Linked DNA regions of Astyanax mexicanus. The main gene of each other region encodes a partner of the protein of the gene in region 2 in a complex. Links are inferred from orthologs where the notes say so. Each region holds a gene or a part of one and is shown on either strand. Other genes may lie near its edges.

What was found. The genes of interacting proteins can lie anywhere in the genome.
Region 1: the proteins of ezh2 (region 2) and aebp2 are in contact, whole or in part, in a cryo-EM structure (PDB 8VMI), measured with the Homo sapiens proteins. The link is inferred for Astyanax mexicanus from reciprocal best matches to the Homo sapiens genes EZH2 and AEBP2. Residues at the interface, in NP_001190176.1 of Homo sapiens: Ser76, Leu77, Arg78, Gly79, Thr80, Thr100, Asn102, Ala103, Val104, Ala105, Ser619, Asp620, Val621, Ala622, Ile739, Glu742, Met743, Glu744, Ile745, Pro746; in NP_001107648.1 of Homo sapiens: Lys382, Leu383, Lys384, Asn385, Arg387, Arg388, Ser390, Leu391, Pro392, His395, Asp399, Ala400, Gln401, Asp404, Ala405, Arg407, His408, Ile411, Cys412, Leu415.

Annotation. Positions count from the first base shown.
Region 1 is NC_064409.1:30,151,269-30,162,115, reverse strand, and holds the start of aebp2 (zinc finger protein AEBP2), read left to right. Parts: upstream 1-5,414; 5' UTR 5,415-5,570; coding exon 5,571-6,049; intron 6,050-10,847. UniProt on the Homo sapiens protein: Acts as an accessory subunit for the core Polycomb repressive complex 2 (PRC2), which mediates histone H3K27 (H3K27me3) trimethylation on chromatin leading to transcriptional repression of the affected target gene.
Region 2 is NC_064408.1:92,429,633-92,440,437, forward strand, and holds the start of ezh2 (histone-lysine N-methyltransferase EZH2), read left to right. Parts: upstream 1-5,808; 5' UTR 5,809-6,221; intron 6,222-9,665; 5' UTR 9,666-9,672; coding exon 9,673-9,789; intron 9,790-10,779; coding exon 10,780-10,805. Other genes in the region: pdia4 (protein disulfide-isomerase A4), read left to right, coding at 108-520. UniProt on the Homo sapiens protein: Polycomb group (PcG) protein. Catalytic subunit of the PRC2/EED-EZH2 complex, which methylates 'Lys-9' (H3K9me) and 'Lys-27' (H3K27me) of histone H3, leading to transcriptional repression of the affected target gene.

The sequences.
Region 1 (10,847 bases), on a different chromosome or scaffold from region 2:
AGAAAGAAAGGGTGAGAGATTTATCAGTTCATCCTCACGCTTAGTTTTATAAACACTCAATTCAGATCCAGTTAGTTACCGTTTTTTTCTTTTAATTACAGTTTTTTTTTCACTTAGTTTTCACATAGTTTTTGTTATTCCGTATTCATAGTGCCCCCTAGTGGTCACAAATGCAGTCTTCCATTCATTGCCTTCTTTGATGTGCATTAAGTTATATGCACTTCGAGTTTGGTGAACCACTGTGCATTTTGTAGTTTTTCTAGTACTGAATTAAGGGTAATGGGGAGGGTTTTTTTTTTAACAGGGATAGCATTAAGATCCTGGTAGTCTATACATGGGCGAAGACCACCATCTTTTTTCTCAACAAAAAAGGACCCAGCAGCACATGGTTGCTCAGACAGCCTTCTATCGCATGTGGTGGTAAACGAGTGGCATGTACTTTACAAAACCTCCATGATGTCATGATAGCAGTTAGGGACAGAAAAAGTGCCAAGCATATTAGGGCTCTCTACGGTAGTGCCTAGGCATGGTATGGACAAACAATGACTTTAATAGTAGTCACTCCTTTTTAGAATTTTACTGAATTTTAAATTAGTTTCAAATGCTGAGCCAACCAACTGAAACACAAAATTAAAAGGTGATCAGGGGATTCAATAATAGCCAACCTGAACAGAAAGTTCCTTTGCCTAAAGGTTGTTAATCCTGGGCTGCAAGGACTAAAACAGAAAACTTGTCTGAGTGCAAGGAAATCCGTACAGAAATTGATATTTGTTTCCTGCACCTACTTTGCTTCTCCTCAGGAGTGAGGCGGGCTCTACCAATCTGCATTGGCTCCGGTTCGCTGAGGGGGGTGAGGCTTGGGTGGCTGAAGAGAGGTCTGAAATCCGTTGTAAGCTTCCGTTTTTCCGTGCAGAAAGTTGCCCTGGGAAATAGCCACGTTCAGGGTCATCTCTTGTTCTCTAAAACCATGCTCCGTCTGCACGTCCTCCCGCAATCCCCTCTATAACACGTTTTTTTCAGAGCTGGTTCAGTCCTTCCACTATCTGCGGCAAGAGTGTGGAAGTCAAGGGTGTAACTTGTTGCAGAATAGGTGCCTTGTTTAAGCTCACACATTTGCAAACCCAGCTCTTTACCGGCTGCAGGGTGTGGTCAAACACAGCTTTAAACTGAGCAAAAAACAAAGCTTTAGAGCGTAAATGTCACTGTTGGCCGACCATAGGGCAGTAGCCCATTCCTTAGCTTTACACGTAAGCAGTGTTGTGATTACCTTTTAGCGTGTATTGCAATAAAAAGTTGCATGCACCAGGAGAGCCATCATAGTGTTTGGGAACGGCGATAAAGTTGGAGGAGGATGGTTTAGCTGTTAGTACAACATCAGCTGTTTGTACAGCAGCCTGTTCTGGTACACTGCAGCTGGTTCCACTACATGCTGTGGCAAACTCTAAACAAGCTGGGCCAACACCTCCAGTTTTTGCATTCTAATGAATATATTTTTAAATAATATAGGACAACAATGCAAAAAAAAGAGAAAACTCCTCTTCAGTTTTTTCTTATTTTGTTGAGGTCTGGGGACTGAGATGGCCAAGAGCTTGATGTTGTGCCTTGTGAACCATTTTTGAGTAGAATTGGCCACATGTTTAGGGTCATTATCTTGTTGAAAGACCCAGTGACGACCCATCTTCAGCTTTTGGGCAGAGGACACCAGATTCTGATTCAAAATATCCTGATACTTTATGATCTCATGTATCCTTACAAGGTCCCCAGGTCCTTTAGAGGAGGAACAGGCCCACAGCATCACCCGTCCTCCCCCATACTTAACAGTGGACATAAAGTGTTTTCCTGCATAATCAACCTTAGTGTTACTCCAGACCCATTTTGAGTGTTTGTTACCAGAAAGCGCTATCTTGGTTTCATCTGACCAAAGCAGACTGTACCAGTTAAAATCCCACTATAGCTTGGTAAACAACAGCTTGTTTTACGCTTATGATTATAACTCAAAAAGGCTTTCTCTGTGCTGCTTCCCTTCCAAACAGCTTGTTGGCATGTAAAAGGCGCCTGATGGTTGTTTGGAAGACCTCTTAACACTACATGCTACCATTTGATTCAATTCTCTTACAGTGAATGTGGATCAGGGCATCTGCAGATGAGTGGCTATTTTCTTGTAGCCATTGACTGCTTTATGAAGGTCAACACACATCTATACACTTGAATGTTATGTTCTCATGTCTTTCCCATGTTTCAGATGAGTAGGAGAAATAGACCTTTTTGTAATACTGTATTTACACCCCAGGGAAACACAAAGTGATTATTTACCAATTAAAGGTTCCTACACACTTTGATTCACTTTATAAACTACAGTAGAAATGACATAATTTGTTTAAATACATTTCATTCCAAAAAATTGTTATGGGATGCCAATAATTGTGTCACAGGTTTTTTTTTTATTCACTTGAGTTAAAGGTTGCTTTTTTATTTTTTCCGTGAGATTATGCTTTTGCAATAAAAATGACATTTATTTTAAGGCTTTTAACACATTTTAACTAGGTATGCTAATAATTATGGAGGGCGCTGTAAAGTGAACTTTTCCCAGTAGCTCATTGCCTCATCATGGCTGGGCTGATCTTCAGGATTTTCTAACATGCTTTTACCTATCTAGGGGTATTTATAACAAATAAGTTTGACAAACTGATTAAATACAACTTATTCAAACTTTTTTACATACTAAACAAGACCTGAACATTGGACATTACTACCCCTATGATTAGCAGGGTGCATCAATGTAATGAAAATGAATATACTCCTTAGATTTCTATATATTTTACAATGCATCACAATTTTTAATTACTAAATCTTATTTTATTAACCTTGACAATACTATTTACAAATTTGTTTAAAATAAGAAGGTCCTGAGGCTTCGGAAGTCAACTCTACAAAAACCTAAACTCTTAGGGGGTATGGCACTGGCCAACATTATTTTTTACTATTGGGCTGCTAATTTTCAACTTACTGTTTATTGGTTGCATTTAGATAAGCTAGCCTCTGTGTCTGCCTGGTTATACCATGAATCTGCTTCCCTAGCTCCCACCTCATTAGCTTTTTTTCTAATTTTCTTAGTACAGCCACATAAACCAAGTTGCAATAATATTATTGTCAGGTCTACAGTTCAGGCGTCATTTTGGTATACAGTCGCTCCCACTATTAACTCCACTTTGTGCGAACCCACTATTTCCTCACTCGCTGCAAGATAGAGTCTTTAAGATTTGGCAGGACCACAGATATATTTAACTGCAATTTCTAATCCAAACAAGCAACAATTTATAAAGGAAAATCACAAAAATGATCAGGGGTGCCCAATTTAAATTTTGTAGCGTTTCTGACGCTTTAGCGAGGCAGCTTATTCTGTTACATTTGAAGAAAAAAAAAAACATACCCCCCTTCCTACACACACTGGGTAAAAGATGCACTACACTTTATAAAACTAGAAAAAATTAACCACACCCTAAAAGGATAGTGAATAGGGTCCCTTTTTAAAACATTTAGATGTTTTGGAACATTATCCTTCTTTAAGAATTAAATTATTTCCACTGTAAAATGGAAATGATAGTCATGGGACGCTGCACATCTTGGTAGAAACATACCCTGATAAACAGCATTAATCATACAGGTCAACCATCCTGGTTATACTGACAGACAAGCTAGACCATGAAACTCAATTTACATTATGTGCTGTGCTAGTCAAGAGATACACAAGCAGACATTATTTGAGTTATTGGCGTAGCTGGTCTGTGAGTATGACCAAGGTGGTTAGCAAGTATGATTAGTATGATATACTGGCACAACTAAATAAAAAACAACCATCTATTTCTCTAATTAAACACACTAACGCTAATACCACTGGTCTCAGCTACACTGGTGAAGTGTGCTACAGTGTTTAAAGCTTGGTTGTGTAGTAACACTGTCCTGCCTGTTTTAGTAGTTTTTTGCTGTATCACACCAAGCTCAACTGCTACGTGAACACAGTTCACAAAATACAATCTGTATTTAAAAACAAGACTGTGATTATCTTACATTGATTATTATATTTCCCTTTATTAAAAGTTTCAGTGTTAAGAAGGAGAAATCAAAATCAGATTATAAGATTAATTTCAGCAAACTGCGATTAATTAGTTAATTTTAATCGTTTGATATTCATGACACAAACACACTATAGATCTGTAACGATCTGTATCACTTATGTCATTTTCAGCTGGATTTAACTTCTCGCTTTACATTTTGGCCAGTCAATTTAAATTGCAGAAATAAAATATAGGCTCGTTTCTTTGTTTTTTGGTTTAAACACATGAAAAAAAATAGGAATTCAGTCCTACTTTATGTTTCTGCTTTATGTCTACAAAACGAACATATGGTTAATTATTTTGATCGCGAATCATGGGCGGGCTTTAAGCACTCTTCATACCCCATTGGTCAGCCTGAGTGATCACGTGCTCTCTCGTTGTTCGGGAAAAAAAGTCCCAGTAAAATCTCGGGCAGGAGAAGTAATACACGCGAAGCAATATATCTCATATTTTCTCCAAATCCAGTCAAATAAATTTAGGTTGTAGACTCTGACTGAGGACTGTATATGTACTCCACAATCTGAGGAAAAGCTAAGTTTACATGCACGCTGATAGTAATCCGGTCTAAACAGACGAGCAATAGTATCACAAAGTGTACACCGTGACAACGAGTATTACAGCTCTGTGTGGAGTGTTTGTTCTTTTGGTTGCACGAGCCAGACACCAGTCTTATCGCTGATGACACAAAATATATATATATACAAGTGCTGTAAGATGAGAGTCATACCATTAATACCAGTACAATAAGTTACAGGTAACAAGTGAAACACGCATTAATTCGACCGAATTGGAGAAAATATCAGATATATTGCTGCACGTATGTTACTCCTGCCGCCCGAGAGTTTTACTGGGACTTTTACCTATACAACGCTTCTGAGAGCACGTGATCACTCATACTGACCAATGAGGTAGGAAGAGCGCTTTAAGCCCGCCCATGATTCGCCATCAAAATAATGAACCATATGTTAGTTTTGAAGACATAGGGGAAAGTCGGACTGAACTACAGTTTCTGTTTTAGTGTGTTTACAACAAACAAAAAACGATGAAACGAGTCTTTTGTCACTTCTTCTATTTTCTATTTAGTTCAAGAATCAACCTATCAAAATGTACACGGACTGCGGCAAGTATTTTATTAGTTCGTATTCCAATTTTATACGTAAAATCAGTGATCGGATAATTTATTTTTTTCATTTCTGAAACGGATGTTAACCTAATGGTTAAAACTACACATGCCCGTTTTCCCATAACAGGCCCGTTCTGTTTGAAGTAGTCCAAACACGTGGAGTCAGTAAGAGCGACGTCATCTCTTGGCCCCGCCCCGCACGTCCCTGCTCAACCTCTCTCTCGGGCTGTGTGCTCGTAGCTTTGCTGAGGAGAACAAATGCTCACGGTTTGACTCGCTCGGCTCTTCTCAAACTTACTTAGACGCCCCCAAGATACTTCCCACCGTCGAGGATGGCTTCCGCCGCGACCACCGACGCCAACGAACAAGACTCCGCCAAAGCCGGCGATCAGAACGGCGAGGAGAGCGGCGAGGGCCTGCTGCGCGCTCCCGATCAGGAACCGGGTGAGGGCGAGAGCGTTAAAATGGACGAGAACTGCGAGCTCGACGGAGCGACAGGCAAAGAAGAAGCCCTGGCCGAGGCTAGCGAGTCCGCGGAGAGCCCGTCGAGCGGTGAGGCTGAAGCGGAGGAGCTGAAGAAATGCCCCGAGCAGAAGAGCTCAGAGAGCGGGGAGAACTCGGCGGCCGTGCCGGGGGAGCTAAAGCAAGAACAAAGAGAGGAGGAGAGCGTGTCCTCGCCGGCCGAGTGCCCCAGCAGTAAAGGTGAAGAGTGTCCGGACAAAACCGGCAGCGGGATAAAGAGGAGAGCCAGCGTGGAGATGTCCTCCTCCTCCGATGGAGAACCCCTGAGCCGGATGGACTCTGAGGACAGGTTAGTAACTCTATTATCGAGGATCATGAACAGAGTGCCTGAGGTACAACAGCAGAGTCCGCCTACTGCCTCCACCTACAGCTGCAGCTACAGCCCCACTGCCCGTAACTGTGGAAAAACAATGCGTGCTGGTACAGCTATGTGTGCTGCAGTGATAATATAAGACCTGTTATACTGTTATAAACAGACCTAGGGGCTTCATTACGTCTCTACTCTTTTATCGTAAAATCACAGCAGCAGCACTCAGTCAGAACTCAATTTATATGAGTAAAATCTCAAATGATAGATCTCACTAATGCAGTTTTATCACTAATTTTAATTTCAGAATTAGAATATCAGATATACAGATCTATACATCCCTTCGGACTCGTCATATTTCCATATCCCTAATGTAATTCTGTCTATTATTCTCATGGAATTAAATCACGGGTGGTACGTGTAGTCCTATATAACTATACTGTAACTGTGTGTAGTAAACAGTCCAGCTCCACACATTTTTAAACTTCTACAGTTGGAGTTTTTACAAGTAATGATACGGTTACTGATATTACAGTGAATTACTGTGTTGGCCTGTCATAATTATGATAATTAGTTGATTAGATTTATCGTACAGTATATGGACATGGCCTAATTTAGAATATCTAAACATATTAAGATTTACAATTGTACATGTTCTAAAAAATTACAGTCTGGATATCTATAATTATAATGAGATTTGTTGAATATTCTCATTTTTGCTCACATGGGTGTAATGTGGTCTGGATTCATCATTGCACTTCACCTTAATCCCATGGCCCTAAATTGTCCTTAGCTATGTAGTGTATAACCCAGATGGGACCTAGTTAAAACCCCTTTTGGTCACATCACTGGCCCGTCGTAATGAACACTGGTATTGTTCAGAAATGCCCAGTGGAACGGTAACCTTTGTAATATAGCAAATACACAGTTCAGTTTTTGATCCATTGGCTTCCACTGAATTTAGATTAAAACAAGAATAAATACGTAAAAATTCATCAGGTGTTTTTAGCTCTTGATCTCTTTAATTGTTTTTGTCTACGTTTGTGCACTTTACTAATAGTATCCAACATATGTCATTTGTCACATCAGTATACTTTAATAACACATTTTGATATCTATAAAGATAAGACTTTATACATTATTCTCACATGTCTTACCTTTAGGAAAGTTTTGAACACAAGATACATGAACAAACCATTACTCATGAAACTTCTTTAACTTCACAAGCTTCTCATGCAACGCTCTATTCAGAAAGTACTGTGCTCCTAAACATTTAACATCATACTGTCTCTTAGGCCCCACATTAGACCTTTGTCCTAGTGCATATAATGTTTAAGCTCAACTGACAATATTGTGTTTTAGTACCTTGTGATAGTGTTTTGCATTTCATACAATATGAAAGTTTGTATATATAAATGTTTGACTGTAATTTGATAAAGGTATACGTTCCTCCAGAGGTAGAGGTAGAAATTGAGAAAGCTCTTGATAGAAGGTATCCTTGTACAACAGTACGAGAGTTTGCCAGAGAACACCTAGTCCAAAAATATGCTTTGGACAGATGACTTTTGCCTTGTTTCTTTTTTTAACATAACTGTAAACCTTAAAGCTTCTCTAATATGTTTATGAGCATATAAGCAATCTCTATATTAATCAATGCACTATATATGAAAAAGGGGATGATCTCATAATCATAGCTTTTAATTAATTAATTTTTTTATTAGGCTGACAGTAACAAAGCAATTAAAAATGTACCCTCATAAGAATGCTTCCATGGTCTTTAGTCATGGTCTGCTTAGACATTTAATAAACAAGTTTTGCCCTAATTTCTAAATGAAATATTTGTATCTGAAATTGGCTTAAATGCATTTAATGTACAATTGTATTTCTGACCATTTTCATTGGCTTCAGTTTCAGCATAATATCAACATAGCATACTGTATAGCATAATTCTTCTCATTTTACATCAGATTTAACAGCTCCTGTTAAGCAGCGCAGCTGACTGAAAATCCCCTTGTACTCAGCAGTAGCCTTTGAAGGTGTTAGCAATAATACTAATTGTTTATTAATTTTTGATTTTTGAAAACAAATTAATAGTGCTGGTTAGAAAGGGTAAGTTCCTTTTATCATTTTCTATTATGATAAATATGTAGAATTATTGCCCAGCCTTAGGTATAATTATGTAACTGTGCTGCTGTCATCAGTGGATGTTTTTAAACTATAAATAGTATATAGTATATAATTATCAAATTACCCAGTGTTGACCTTTTTGGTCACCTGAGAAAGTGCTCCACATATATAGATGAGACCTTTTGTTGGCTTGCATGTGTGATAGTATCGGTAAGCAGGCACCTTGCAGAAAGAGTGAGGGAACACGAAGAGGAGCTGTGCTTATTGTTTAACAGATGCCATATTTGGTCTCCTGGGGACATTTTGTTAACACGCATGCCCCAGCCCAACCCCATAACGAAAGCAATGAGTAAAATATTCTGTTTTGGCTGTTGAATGTGTCTTTAAGTAATTGATGCATTTAAATGGCTAAAACATTGCCCAAATGCATCTTAGATCACCTTCTGCAGTGGTACCTGCATTCCCTCCACTGGCTTACTGTTGCCGCCCGCATCCGATTCAAAACCCTAACCCTGGCCTACAAGGCAAAAAACAGACCAGCTCCTTCATATCTGATGGCAATGGTCAAAGCCAGATCTGCACCAAGAGCTCTTAGAGTTTCCAGTATGGCTGGGCTCAAACCTCCATCCCTCAAAACCCACAAAAAAACAAACATTCAGACTCTTTTCTGTGCTAGCACCAAGGTGGTGGAATGAACTTCCACTGGTTGTCAGAACAGCAGAGTGACTCGCGCTCTTCAAGCGTTGACTGAAGACTCGTCTTTTTAAAGAGTTCCTAAACTAATAATAATAAAAAAAGGTTCCTAGGGTTCTAACATGATCAAGCTTTGTGTATCTCTTGATCCTAGCCTACAAACTAGCTTTGGATATTTGAAGTAACATCGAAGCACTGTTGTAAGTCGCTCTGTATAAGGGCATCTGCTAAATACCTTAAATGTAAATGTACCTAGTTCCAGATCATACCTACCATATTTGCTTAATGTTAAATCAGAAAAATCAGACGTGTCAAGTAGTGTATATACTAGAATGGAAAATTAGCAACTGCCATTGACCAAATGTAGGTAAATTTAACGAAGTGAGGGTTAAGATTGATTAAGCCACAATCCACAGCGGCGGGTTAGCAATTTAGACAGGAGAGACAGAGAGCATTCAGTGTATCAATAGTTTAATGTAAGAATTTATGGAAGACACACATGCGAGAGGTTATTTTTAGAAGATTCTAGGCTACTCAAATATGTCATAAAAAACACAAAAATCAGTAATACGGCTATGCACTGCACAATTATTAAACCCAAATAGACCAACAACAGAAACATCATTTATAAAGACTTTCTAGTACTCTAATATAGTTATAAGAATAAGAATATAAAACACTTTCTGAACAAACATTTTTGTTTATTTTAAGCATATATGTTATATAGTATATTTCCTCAGTGCTAAAGCACAAAAACATATAACAAATGAGGCTATGCACTACACACACAGCGCTGCGAGTCAAGTGCGTGATGCCGCAATGTGGAGGAGCTCACGTGTACTTTGCGCAGGCCAGAGCTTATAATATTTCTAACTTATGCAACCTTTTTTAAAAAACAAAGTTACATGATTTGTTACTTTACTATACTGTGATTATCCCGCCATAGCTTTATATAAAATAAAAAAAAAGAATTTAAAAATAGATGCCAATGTCACAGACCATTTTCTTCAGCCTGACCCAGCCTGGGGAAAGTGGTGGGGAATCTCGACCTGACCCCACCCGAATTCGGGCAGAGAATCTAAACTCTGGGACAGCGCTACACTGAGGAACCCTGAGTGCTCCGGTAAGCCAGGGCACTTTCAGCTAGCGGTTTGTCCCTCAAAGCTTGTTTTAACACAGTAAACACAGGCTACAGTCTGAACTGAACTGAAACTCCTTTATAACACTGAGCTTCAGCTGTTTAAATAATGGAACAGCGGTAGAAGTCACATACTTATGGCATGGACGATAATGCGCTTAGTATTGGCAATAGCTTAAATTATTTTGATATTCTATATCTGTTGTCTGCCCAAGGCTACTAACTCCTTGCCAAAAATAGCAGAAATCTAAATCAAAACCATTTTACAGAAAACTGTTGAAAACTGAGATAAAACCTAAAGGTGTAGACACATTTAGTCACTAGAAAATTTGAACTTGTATCATCTATTTGAGGTGTGTTCAGATAGACAATCAGCAAGAGGTAGCCTCTATTATTATCGTAACCCGTGTGCTTGGGCTTAGCCTGCAGCATTGTCTCTTATGGATGTGGGCAGTGAAGTTTGAAAAGAAATCAACAGATGGAAGCTTTTGGAGTGTGTGTGTGTGTCTGTGTGTGTGTGTCTGTGTGTGTGTGTCTGTGTGTGTGTGTCTGTGTGTGTGTGTCTGTGTGTGTGTGTCTGTGTGTGTGTGTCTGTGTGTGTGTGTGTGTGTGTGTGTGTGTGTGCGCGCGCGCGTGCGTGCGCGAATGACAATCAAGCCCCCTGATGGCCTATTCACCCATTCAGTTGCTTTCACGGTACTTTGTCTTCGTAAGAGGCCATGAGCCATATTCCCCTTTACTGGGGCAATACAAAGCTGCACACGTGCCACAGAGGGACAAAATGTTGGTTGGTTTTCTGCCAAATTTGGCAAAATTTATCTG
Region 2 (10,805 bases):
CAGCTTTATGGCACTCTACGGTCAAATTTAAAAAATGAATAGAACCTGAGGTGAGAGCCTTCCAAATGTTCTTACTGACACCAGATGTTTTGTGTCCTTTTTAACAGGCAAACTGAAGCCCATTATCAAGTCACAGCCTGTTCCAAAGAACAAGGGACCTGTGAAGGTGATTGTTGGCAAAACGTTTGATGAAATAGTGCTGGATAAAAAGAAGGACGTCCTCATTGAGTTCTACGCACCGTGGTGTGGTCACTGTAAGAAATTGGAGCCTGATTACCTCGCTCTTGCAAAGAAATATAAGAATGAGAAGAATCTTGTGATCGCCAAAATGGACGCTACTGCCAACGATGTGCCCCACGACAGCTATAAAGTTGAGGGATTCCCCACTATATACTTTGCTCCCAGCAACAACAAGCAGAATCCCATCAAATTTGAAGGTGGTGAAAGGAATGTTGAGGGCTTTAGCAAATTCATCGAGGAACATGCAACAAAATTATTACAAACAAGAGATGAACTCTAGAGGGTTTTTGGAGAAACCATGAACTTTAACACATTCCGATGCAGGAAGTATTCTGATACGCAGACTGTGGCAGTCTGGAGTAATTTTGTTGTAACCAGTGTTCCTGAATGCAGAATCCTTCTTTTTTTCATTCCAAAGTTCGCACTGTTTATTAGGTTTCTTTCAAAATCTTTTTAAATAAAAGTGTAAATTGGAAAAATGTTTGTTTCCTACTCTCGGTTCAATTATATTGTTTTACTTAGAAATAGAAATAAGCCGTAAGACTTATCGTTCTGGTTCATGTGGTGGAAACCTTATCTTCAGGGATTAGCATCAAACAATATGTTATTTTAACCTTTTATTAATTTGACTGATCAAAACCAGGAAAATTTGGTTTCCCTCCAATATCCTGTCCATGTATAGTAATAGTTATTGTTATTTATGGTCTCAGATATAGTTGATCAGCCCATATGGGTTTGGTATTTGATGTGAGCTTCCTTATAAAAGGCCAATATTGTTAAAGGTTTTGTATAGAATGGCACTAATCACACTTCAGTCTTACTGTGCATCAACAATTATACCACAGTTCTATTATTGCTGTTTATTGAAATGTTTTGAGTTAAAGAGGATGAGAAAATATGTTACATGGAGACCCTCGGTCACATTGCATTACAGACTAAAAACTGCACTCATAGAACGCCTCTCAGCCAATCCCATTGCAGGGTCAGAACTAACTGGTTTAATAGTTACTAATAATTGTCATGCCAAACATTTTGGTAAATATACATTGGAAAATATTGTTTGCTATACAAACCCTTTAAAAGCTATGCAAGTAAGCTACCAAAGGTATTTTGTAGGTTAATAAAATGATTTACCAAAAAAAAAGCACTAATAGACCAAGTAAATGTTTAAACTGGAACAGTTATTCAATGGCTGTCTGTCTCAGCTGTTCAGCTCACCAGAGAACTTAATTTTGTAAAGTAAGTCATAGCCTGTTCAAACCACATCAGTTTGTCTTCATCAAATAAATAAAGCTGTGGATGTGTTTTTTAAATAGGGTAAGAATGAGCATCTACCCTTTATGAGCATATAAACAGCTTCACCGTGCTGGTTGACCAGCATCACCAAGCATTACTAAAATAAAATGCAACATACACTATGCTGTTCAAGAGCAGGTTAACCAGCTAGCTCGCCACATAGTGCATGTTTTCACCTTGGTGATCTGCTTTTCAACCACATTGACCATTGAGGGAGAGATTAGACCTTCTGAAACCAGCTACCACCACAAGCTGGATTTTTCAACTGGGTATAATTTATGGGAAAAGTGGACTTTTAATTAGTAACAAAAGCTTTAGTGTATTAAGGGTGGGGACTCTATGTACAGGCCACTTCATAAGTGCAAAATTAGACTCCTGTTTTGCACTTCTTCTAACTGATAATATTATTGGAAATACCTACATAGTACTACTTTAATAGATACAGTGATGTTTCTGTAAGGTTGATATTTGGTCCCACACATAATTTCCAGTACTATACAGAGAAGCGGCTTTCTGGAAAGAGACCAACCATTGATGAAGGACTAGAGGACAGCTAACTTCCAACTGCATAAATCGATGGGCTACAGTCTGCAAGGGAGTGTAATGGCCATGTACGTCAACACATGCCAATTTATTGGTCTAAGCTCTACATGGTCAAAATACGGCCATTCAGGCAAAACATACCCTATACTAATAAGCATGCTGGTTTACCAGAATAGCAATTTGAACTAAATCTTCCACAATAGGTGTCTATAGAATAGAATACAACCCCTGGCAAAAAGTATGGAATCACCAGTCTTGGATGAGCACTCCTTCAGACATTTCATTCTGTAAAACAAACTCTGATCAAAAACATGATACAATAATAAGGTCATTCCAAAGTGCAACTTGTTGGCTTTCAGTAACACTCAAAGAAATGAAGAAAAAACATTGTGGAAGTCAGTGAATGTTACTTTTATTGACCAACCACAGGGAAAAAAATATGGAATCACTCAATTCTGAGGAAAAAAGTATGGAATCACTCAAATTGAAGGTAGAAAATAAGGACACACCCAGTCAATTTCCTTTCCCTAAATGGACACCTGCCTCAGATTAGATCTGCTCGTTAGTCTGCAGTTAAAAACACCTGCAGTCATGACACCTTGGAGGGCTGCTGGACGAATTAGAGTGGCAAGAACCATGGCTCCAACAAGAGAAATGTCTCTTGAAACAAAAGAGAGGATTGTGAAACTTCTTGAAGAAGGTAACTCTTCACGCATGGTTGCTAAAGATGTGGGCTGTTCACAGTCAGCTGTATCCAAGATATGGACCAAATACAAACAGCATGGAATGGTTGTTAAAGCCAAGCGTACTGGTAGACCGAGAAAGACATCAAAGCGTCAAGACAAGCAACTTAAGGCCATTTGTCTTGAAAACCGAAAAAGTACAACTAAACAGATGAAGCATAAATGGGAAGAAGCTGGAGCCAATGTATGTGACCGAACCGTAAGAAATCGCCTAAAGGAAATGGGATTTCAATACAGGAAAGCTAAAAGAAAACCATCATTGACACCTAAACATAAAAGAACAAGACTGCAGTGGGCTAAGGAGAGGCAATCATGGACTGTGGATGACTGGATGAAAGTTATCTTCAGTGATGAGTCAAGAATCTGCATTGGACAAGGTGATGATGTTGGAACTTTTGTTTGGTGCCGTTCCAGTGAGCTTTATGAAGAGGCCTGCCTGAAGAAAACAACCAAATTTCCACAGTCCTTGATGATATGGGGCTGCATATCAGGCAAAGGCACTGGGGAGATGACTGTGGTTAATTCTTCTATCAATGCACAAGTTTACATTGACATTTTGGACAGTTTTCTCATCCCTTCAATTGAACAGATGTTTGGAGATAATGAAATAATTTTCCAAGATGACAATGCATCGTGCCATAGGGCAAAAACAGTGAAGGCATTCCTTGGAGAAAGACACATTCAGTCGATGTCATGGCCTGCAAATAGTCCAGATCTCAACCCAATTGAAAACCTGTGGTGGAAATTGAAAAAAATGGTCCACAAGAAGGCTCCGACCTGCAAAGCTGATCTGGCAACTGCTATCAAAGAGAGTTGGCACCAAATTGATGCAGAATACTGTTTGTCACTCATCAAGTCCATGCCTCAGAGACTGAAAGCCGTTATAAAAGCCAAAGGTGGTGCAACTAAATACTAGTGATGTATTTTGAATCATCTTTTGTTTATCTGTTTTTCATGATTCCATACTTTTTTCCTCAGAGTTGAGTGATTCCATATTTTTTTCCCTGTGGTTGGTCAATAAAAGTAACATTCACTGACTTCCACAATGTTTTTTCTTCATTTCTTTGAGTGTTCCTGAAAGCCAACAAGTTGCACTTTGGAATGACCTTATTATTGTATCATGTTTTTGATCAGAGTTCGTTTTACAGAATGAAATGTCTGAAGGAGTGCTCATCCAAGACTGGTGATTCCATACTTTTTGCCAGGGGTTGTAGAATAGAATTCTGTAAAAGAACTTGCTTAGGTTGTACAATTTTTAATAAAGGGATTATTGTGCTGTATATTTTACTAAATACAGAAGATTGTATAATTTGTGCAACTGCATATGAGATTACTGGTCTTTGTAAAGTAAATCCACAGCTAACCAGTGAATTTAGAATATACATATAAATTACCACCACGTGCTTTCGCAGGTTTGATGTGGAAGTTTTGAAAGCTGACAGCTCGGTCAGGCGGGACAGGCACATTTTGCATTGCATGTGGACGTCATTGCCTCGTTATTCCACGCACGAGCATACGCGCCAATGTTTTTTTTTAATTCAGGCGATTGTTTTTTTTTCCCAGCATTTTATTTTTACTCAGTAACGGGGAGTTTCCCACTATAGCAAAGTAAATTACTTGTGTCAAAATGAACTTAAGTAAAAGTAAAATTACCTATTTTAAAAACTACTTTAAAAATGACAAATTACTCATAAAATCTACTCAATTACAGTAACGTGAGTAAATGTAATTTGTTACTTTCCACCTCTGGTCATGTGACATCACGTTCAGTAGCTCCTCCATTTCCACTCGCTGTTGTGTTTATGTGGTTCTCTGTGGAAACGCACACCCAAAGGCATAGCAGGACCAAGGAGTTCAGCAGAAAACACTAGGTAATTCAGCCTGTAATTTTCTTATAGGACGTCTGAGAAAAACACATACATGGTACCCCAGGACCCCCTGAGAAACTAATCCTTTTAAGATATGGCTCTAGTGAATGAACCCCCCCCCCCCCCCCCTATCCCCCAAGCGGTAGAAAAGGGCTTCCATTCTCAGCTATGTTGATTACACTTATAAAAGCTGTATTTAAATATTTATTACAGATTTATTGACTTGTTGCTCTTAAATGATTTGACTACATCTCTGATTAACCATATAGTTTTTTAAATATACCTTAAGCAATTAAATTTGAACTGGATCTTCCACAATTAAGCCAAAAACACACTAAAAGGGGAGAGGAAAGGCTGCAGTTGGCCAGGACTCGTAATTGTGGGTTACCACAGTGGGGAATAACGGTTCTGTGGGGAGAAGGCTGGATGGTTTTCCCTCCTAAACAAAGCTGATAATCCCCATAAAATGGCTTTATGGAACTCTGACGTATCACAACGTATCAGGTGGGCGTGGCTTGGCGAACCGGCTGACCCAAGTTCAGTGGGTCCAGTAGAAATATTTGGGGATAAAAAAAATTGACCTTGTGTTTATATTGATACTATACAAACAACAGAAGTGCAGACTTAAGTTTAGAATCACAATAAAGCTGAAGCACCAACTAACATAACCTACATGCTTATCTGTTTAAAAAAGAGAGAAAAAAACAGTGTATGCACGGCAAAGGCAACGTGCATAATTATATATAAAACTAATATACTATCGTTTCTATTCTATAGTATAATGAAATACTATAATCATTATAATAATGCACTATAATTTGTGGATGATATAAGCGATATATCGGCATTACAGTAATCATGCGCTGCGACAGGCAGCTCCAGGCCCCTCGTGCTGCAGGTGGAGGATGAGAAGAACAGATCTGAAGCAGATCTCTCGCTTTGAAGCTGTAAAAAGTGAGTGTTTGTTAAAAATGAAGAACAAAGAGAGTTTCTCCACATGTTCCCCACTTCGGGCCCCGCCGCACAACCGCTTGCTATTGGACGCGGCGCGCGTTCGTGCTGGCCAATGAGCGCCCGCGTCTGTGGGGAGCTTGAGTGCGGCTGCCCGCGATTGGCTGCGGGGTTTGGCGGTCGGCGGTTGTGCAGTAGGCGGAGAGAGGAGCGCGGAGAGCGGGCAGAGTTAGAGCGGGAATACCGGCGATTATTGAACACAAAGCGGAGCTGGGTGAAGCAGAGAGCGGCTCCAACCGCGAGTCTTAGGTGTGAGGAGATCAGACTGGAGCGGAGGAGGCGGGAAGAAGCGACCAGGCTCTGTTTGAAGCCCGAGTTCGTTCACCGGTGTCGGAAAAAGGAGAGAAAGAAAGAAAGAAAGCGCCTCCCTCCCTCTGTTCAGTGAGAGCTGTTAGCGGGGTTAGCACTAGCCTTAGCTTAGCTTTAGCTTTTCTCTGCTCTGCTCCAGGCTGCTCCGCTTTTCTGACCGAAAACAAACAGAGAAAAATCACTGTGTTTAATGTGGACTGGACTCCTGCAGGTAGGTCATCACAACACACAGCACCGGTCACTAAACACGCTGTTCTCGAGCTGTCTGTGGGCTGTGTGGAGGCTAAGCTAACGACAAGTGTTGAAGAGGAGCTGGTGAAGAACTCTCTTATATACATACAGCTCTGGAAAAAAAATGAGACCACTTCAGTTTCTGAATCAGTTTCTCTGATTTTACTACTTATAGGTGTATGTTTGAGTAAAATGAGCATTGTTGTTTTATTCTATAATCTGATGTGAATTACTCCCAAATTCCACATAAAAAGATTGTCATTTAGAGCATTTATTAAAACTTTATGAATATGAACTTATCTTTGTATTATTTGAGGTCTGAAAGCTCTGTATCGTTTTTGTTATTTCAGCCATTTCTCATTTTCTGTAAGTAAAAGAGAGAAATCAATATTTGGTAGGATAACCCTGGTTTTCATTCACAGTTTTCATGCATCTTGGCTTGTTCTCCTCTACTACTTTATGCCACACCTGGTGCAAAAAGTCGAGCAGTTCAGCTTGTGATCATCCATCTTCTTCTTAATTATATTCCAGAGGTTTTCAATTTGGTACAATCAAAGAAACTAATAATTTTCAAGTGGTCTCTTATTTTTTTCCCCAGAGCTGTATATCCATAGTTAAGTTACTGAATTCACGTGTTTATATTTATAAAGTACGGTTATGATTCAGAGTAAATGATGCTTATTTAGCCCTGGTTAGCTTTATATATTATTATCTAGTGATCTAAACCTAGTTAGAAAATAAAACTGAAAGAAATGACACAGACAACTTGATTGATTTTTTTATTTTGGCTGGTTATTGATCCCTGTTTATAAGTGACAGCAGTCATCTCCACTGAGAGAGTTCTTCTATTCATATAGCAAGTAACATTTATTTATCGGACTGTGTAAAATATTGTGTTCATAAATACAATACAAAATATAGCTAGCTAACACTTGCTTCTCACTCTTGAAACACACATCATTAATTATGGACAAATAATACAAATCTAGGCTTCACATATGTTGCTGATAAAAAAAACAGATTTTATTTTCGGTTAATTCTAGCTAATGTTTTTATGATCTGTACAATTATTCATATATGCTGTTTCTTGATGAATATATTATTTTGCTATAAAAAAAAGTTTTAAAAGACTAGTTTTTATTCAAAGTAACACATGATGCCTTTGAAGTAAAAACAAGGAATAAATATAAACTTAATTCTGTCCAAAGGTTAAAGGCCACATTAGAATGTAAAGAAAATATGAGCCATGTGTTTATCTCAAGTATTGCTTACATCCCAGTTTTTAGTTATCAGAAAATTGCATGGATAGATCTTATGGAGAATATTAGTGTATTTATTTTGCTTTATTTGGGATGTATATTCATATACATGTCCTATAGCTAGGTTAAGTTTGTCCTTCTGTTTCTTACATTTTCCTTTCTCTAAGCTTTTAATGTAGCTAGCTAATTATGTATTGAGCATGTTTTGTTTTATGACTTAACTTACTGAATTCAGTGTTCATGGTTATATTTGCTGAGAAACAAAACAAAAAACTGTAAACTGACAGTGTATAAAGAAAGTGGTTTAAAAATAAGACTGACAGAATTGTCCAGACTGCAGCAGATGATTTGTCCTGTGTTTAGTTGTTTCTTTGGACAGTATACAGGACAACACGCAGAGCATCAGAACACAAATATATGAATCATTGATGAGCAGCTACGGTGTTTCTTGTTTTTTTATGATCTAGGTCTGTTTGTTTTGATAAATGAGAGCTGTTTTGTTCTTGTGTAATTTTCTTATTAATGATATTTAACATTTATTTGGTTTATTCTTAAGACCGCCATGTTGTTGTTTCTTTTGTAATGCTGTTAATGTTTTTTTTTGTTTTGTTTTTTTCCTCTTCTCTTTTTACTTGAATGCAGCAGAAGATGCAGGATAGGATATCAGAGGAGGGAAAATGAATTAATTTGATTTGATCTTGTGACAAATCGATCCTTAAAAAGCACACACTCACACTGTGTGATTTAATTATGTTAGCTTTGTGCCTCTTCCTGTGGGGTAATACAGTGTGTGAGTAGTTTTAGCAATACAGCCCACTTTTATCTTCTCTGGTGTTTCCGCTATGCATATTTGAACTGCTGATTTTAGTCTTAAAAGAACTGCAGAATGAGCTGTGATACAAACCAAAGGTCATGTTCACAGCAGACTGTTCCTCTTATTATTACTCATTTATCTTTATTTGTTCTTATTCAGTCTTTTCAACAACGTTTGTTCATCATATACAAGTGCAGTTACAGTGAATGTTAATTTAAGATTGTACACAGAGTAAGAAGCACTGCCAGTTCTGGCACCCAGCTCATCCTGTTTGTCTGACTCAGTGGTTTTTATTCAGCACTTATGTTAGACTTGCAGATGGCTATTTCTATTTTTGCTGCAACATTTTTCTCTGCTCGTACATGTTCAGATGGAAAGCCTGGACGAACTTGCCCACAAAGCTGTACTTGTGAATTTGTCAGTGTTACTTAACGCCTAGTCAGCGTCTGTCGCATCTACTTTCAACAGGGACAGAGTTGTTCAATATGGTAGATGAAGACATCTATACCAGCGCAGTTCAAGAACATGTGCTTTAGCTTAGTTCTTCATGACTAATTAAGCTTAGTTAGGTTTGGATTATAACTAGCAATTCTGGGCTTTTTTGGAGAGGTTTGGGGATGATTAAATGAGCACAGTGAGACAGGAGCACTGCTGGTTTTAACAATATTAACATTCAGTGTAATATTTAAGGCTTCACCTTAAAAACACACTTTGGTTGAATACTAAACAGGAACTTTCTTCAACACTATGTAAATTTGATAACCTATGTTTGTCAGTGATTTCAGAGAAAAGGCAATCGTAAAACTACAAGTAAAAATATTCAGTACTTTGGCACCAGAAGACCAATTCCTAGTAATGGTACATTTTTCTATCAATTTATACAGTTCCAACTTAAACTGCTTGAGACAGATCGCTTGTCAATATTTGGTCATGTATACATTTAATAGTTATAGGATGGGTATAATTCTAAAACACTGGTTAGCTGCAGTGTTTAAGACATTTCAGTTTGGGTCATTTCCACAATTCATTAATGGTTTACTGAATAACTGAGCGCATACTGACTTAAACTGGTCTGGCAATGTTGGGTTATATGAATTCCTGTCATTCAGAAAAAGCTGTCTAATTTGATCTCCAGAAGATCTAAAAGTTTAGATCAGTAAGTTTTTATTGCTGGTAGAATTTGTCCATGCTTTTTCATCAACGTTTAAAACCTTAAAAAACAATAGTGATTTTATATCACTGTGATGTTCTTTAATATAGTATTATAAAAACCATGAACTACAAATTTCTGTATTGAAAACAGTGTCTCTGTTCGTCACTAATCAAATATGAATGCTGTATGTTCTCATAGGGAAACCATGGGCTTGACTGGGAAGAAAATGGAGAAAGGCCCAGTGTGCTGGAGGAAGAGAGTGAAGTCTGTGTACATGAGGCTACGACAGCTGAAACGCTTCAGGAGAGCTGATGAGGTGAAGGTAAGCATGAAGGACAAAACATACTGATTATACAGCCAAAACACTCATCAGCAACATCCACACCTATTCTTTTGTGCAGTTATCAATTCAGTGAGTCTTGCAACAGCAGTGAAATACAATAAAATCATGTTGTACCTGACCGTCAGCTTCAGATAATGTTCAAATTAGCCATCATAATTTTACTAAAGCCTCTAGAGATTACCTAGAATAGTTTAATAACTACCATACAGCCGTAGCTGAAGACCACAGTGGGTTTCAACTGGGGCTGCAGTGGGGACAGGCTCACCAAAACTGCAGTTTAAGAAAAAAGCATGGTCAAATGAATATCAATTTCTGCCGAGGCACACAGATGGTAGGGTTAGAATTTGGCACTGACTGTGTAAATCCGTGGACCCAACCTGCCTTGTGTCAACAGTCCAGGCTCAAGCTGTTTTTCTGGAAATGTCAGTGAGTTTAGTGTTCTTCAGTGACCTTCCCTGATCTGAACCCAGTTAAATGCCATTGGGATGTGGTAGATAAAGAGATTTTCAGCATGGATTTACTCCTGAAAAATCTGCAGGGATTTTGTTTACACTTGTTTCAACATGGACTAGAATCTTAAAGGACTGTTTCACACATCTTGTGGAATTTAGGTAGATGCCAGTCGTAAAGCAGTTGTTGATGTCTGTCATCAGTGTAGACTGCAATCTTTCACATTTTCAACCTCTTTAACCACATGATGCAACTTTTAAGGTGATTGAATAGTTTAATCTGTGTGTTTATATACCACTCTCCACCTGCTCGCACTACCTCACTACATGCTTATTAATGCAGTGCAATTCTATTATGTTACAGGGAAGAGCTGTTGTGATAGAATAAGTTTAGGTTAATATATATTTCGTATTATTAGTATAACAATAGATAATATTGTATTGTTTTTTGTGATGTTGGTTAATGTGTGCGTTGACTGCTTGCATATTATTGAAGCAGAATGTGTGTTATTTTCTACAGAGCATGTTCAACTCCAACAGACAGAA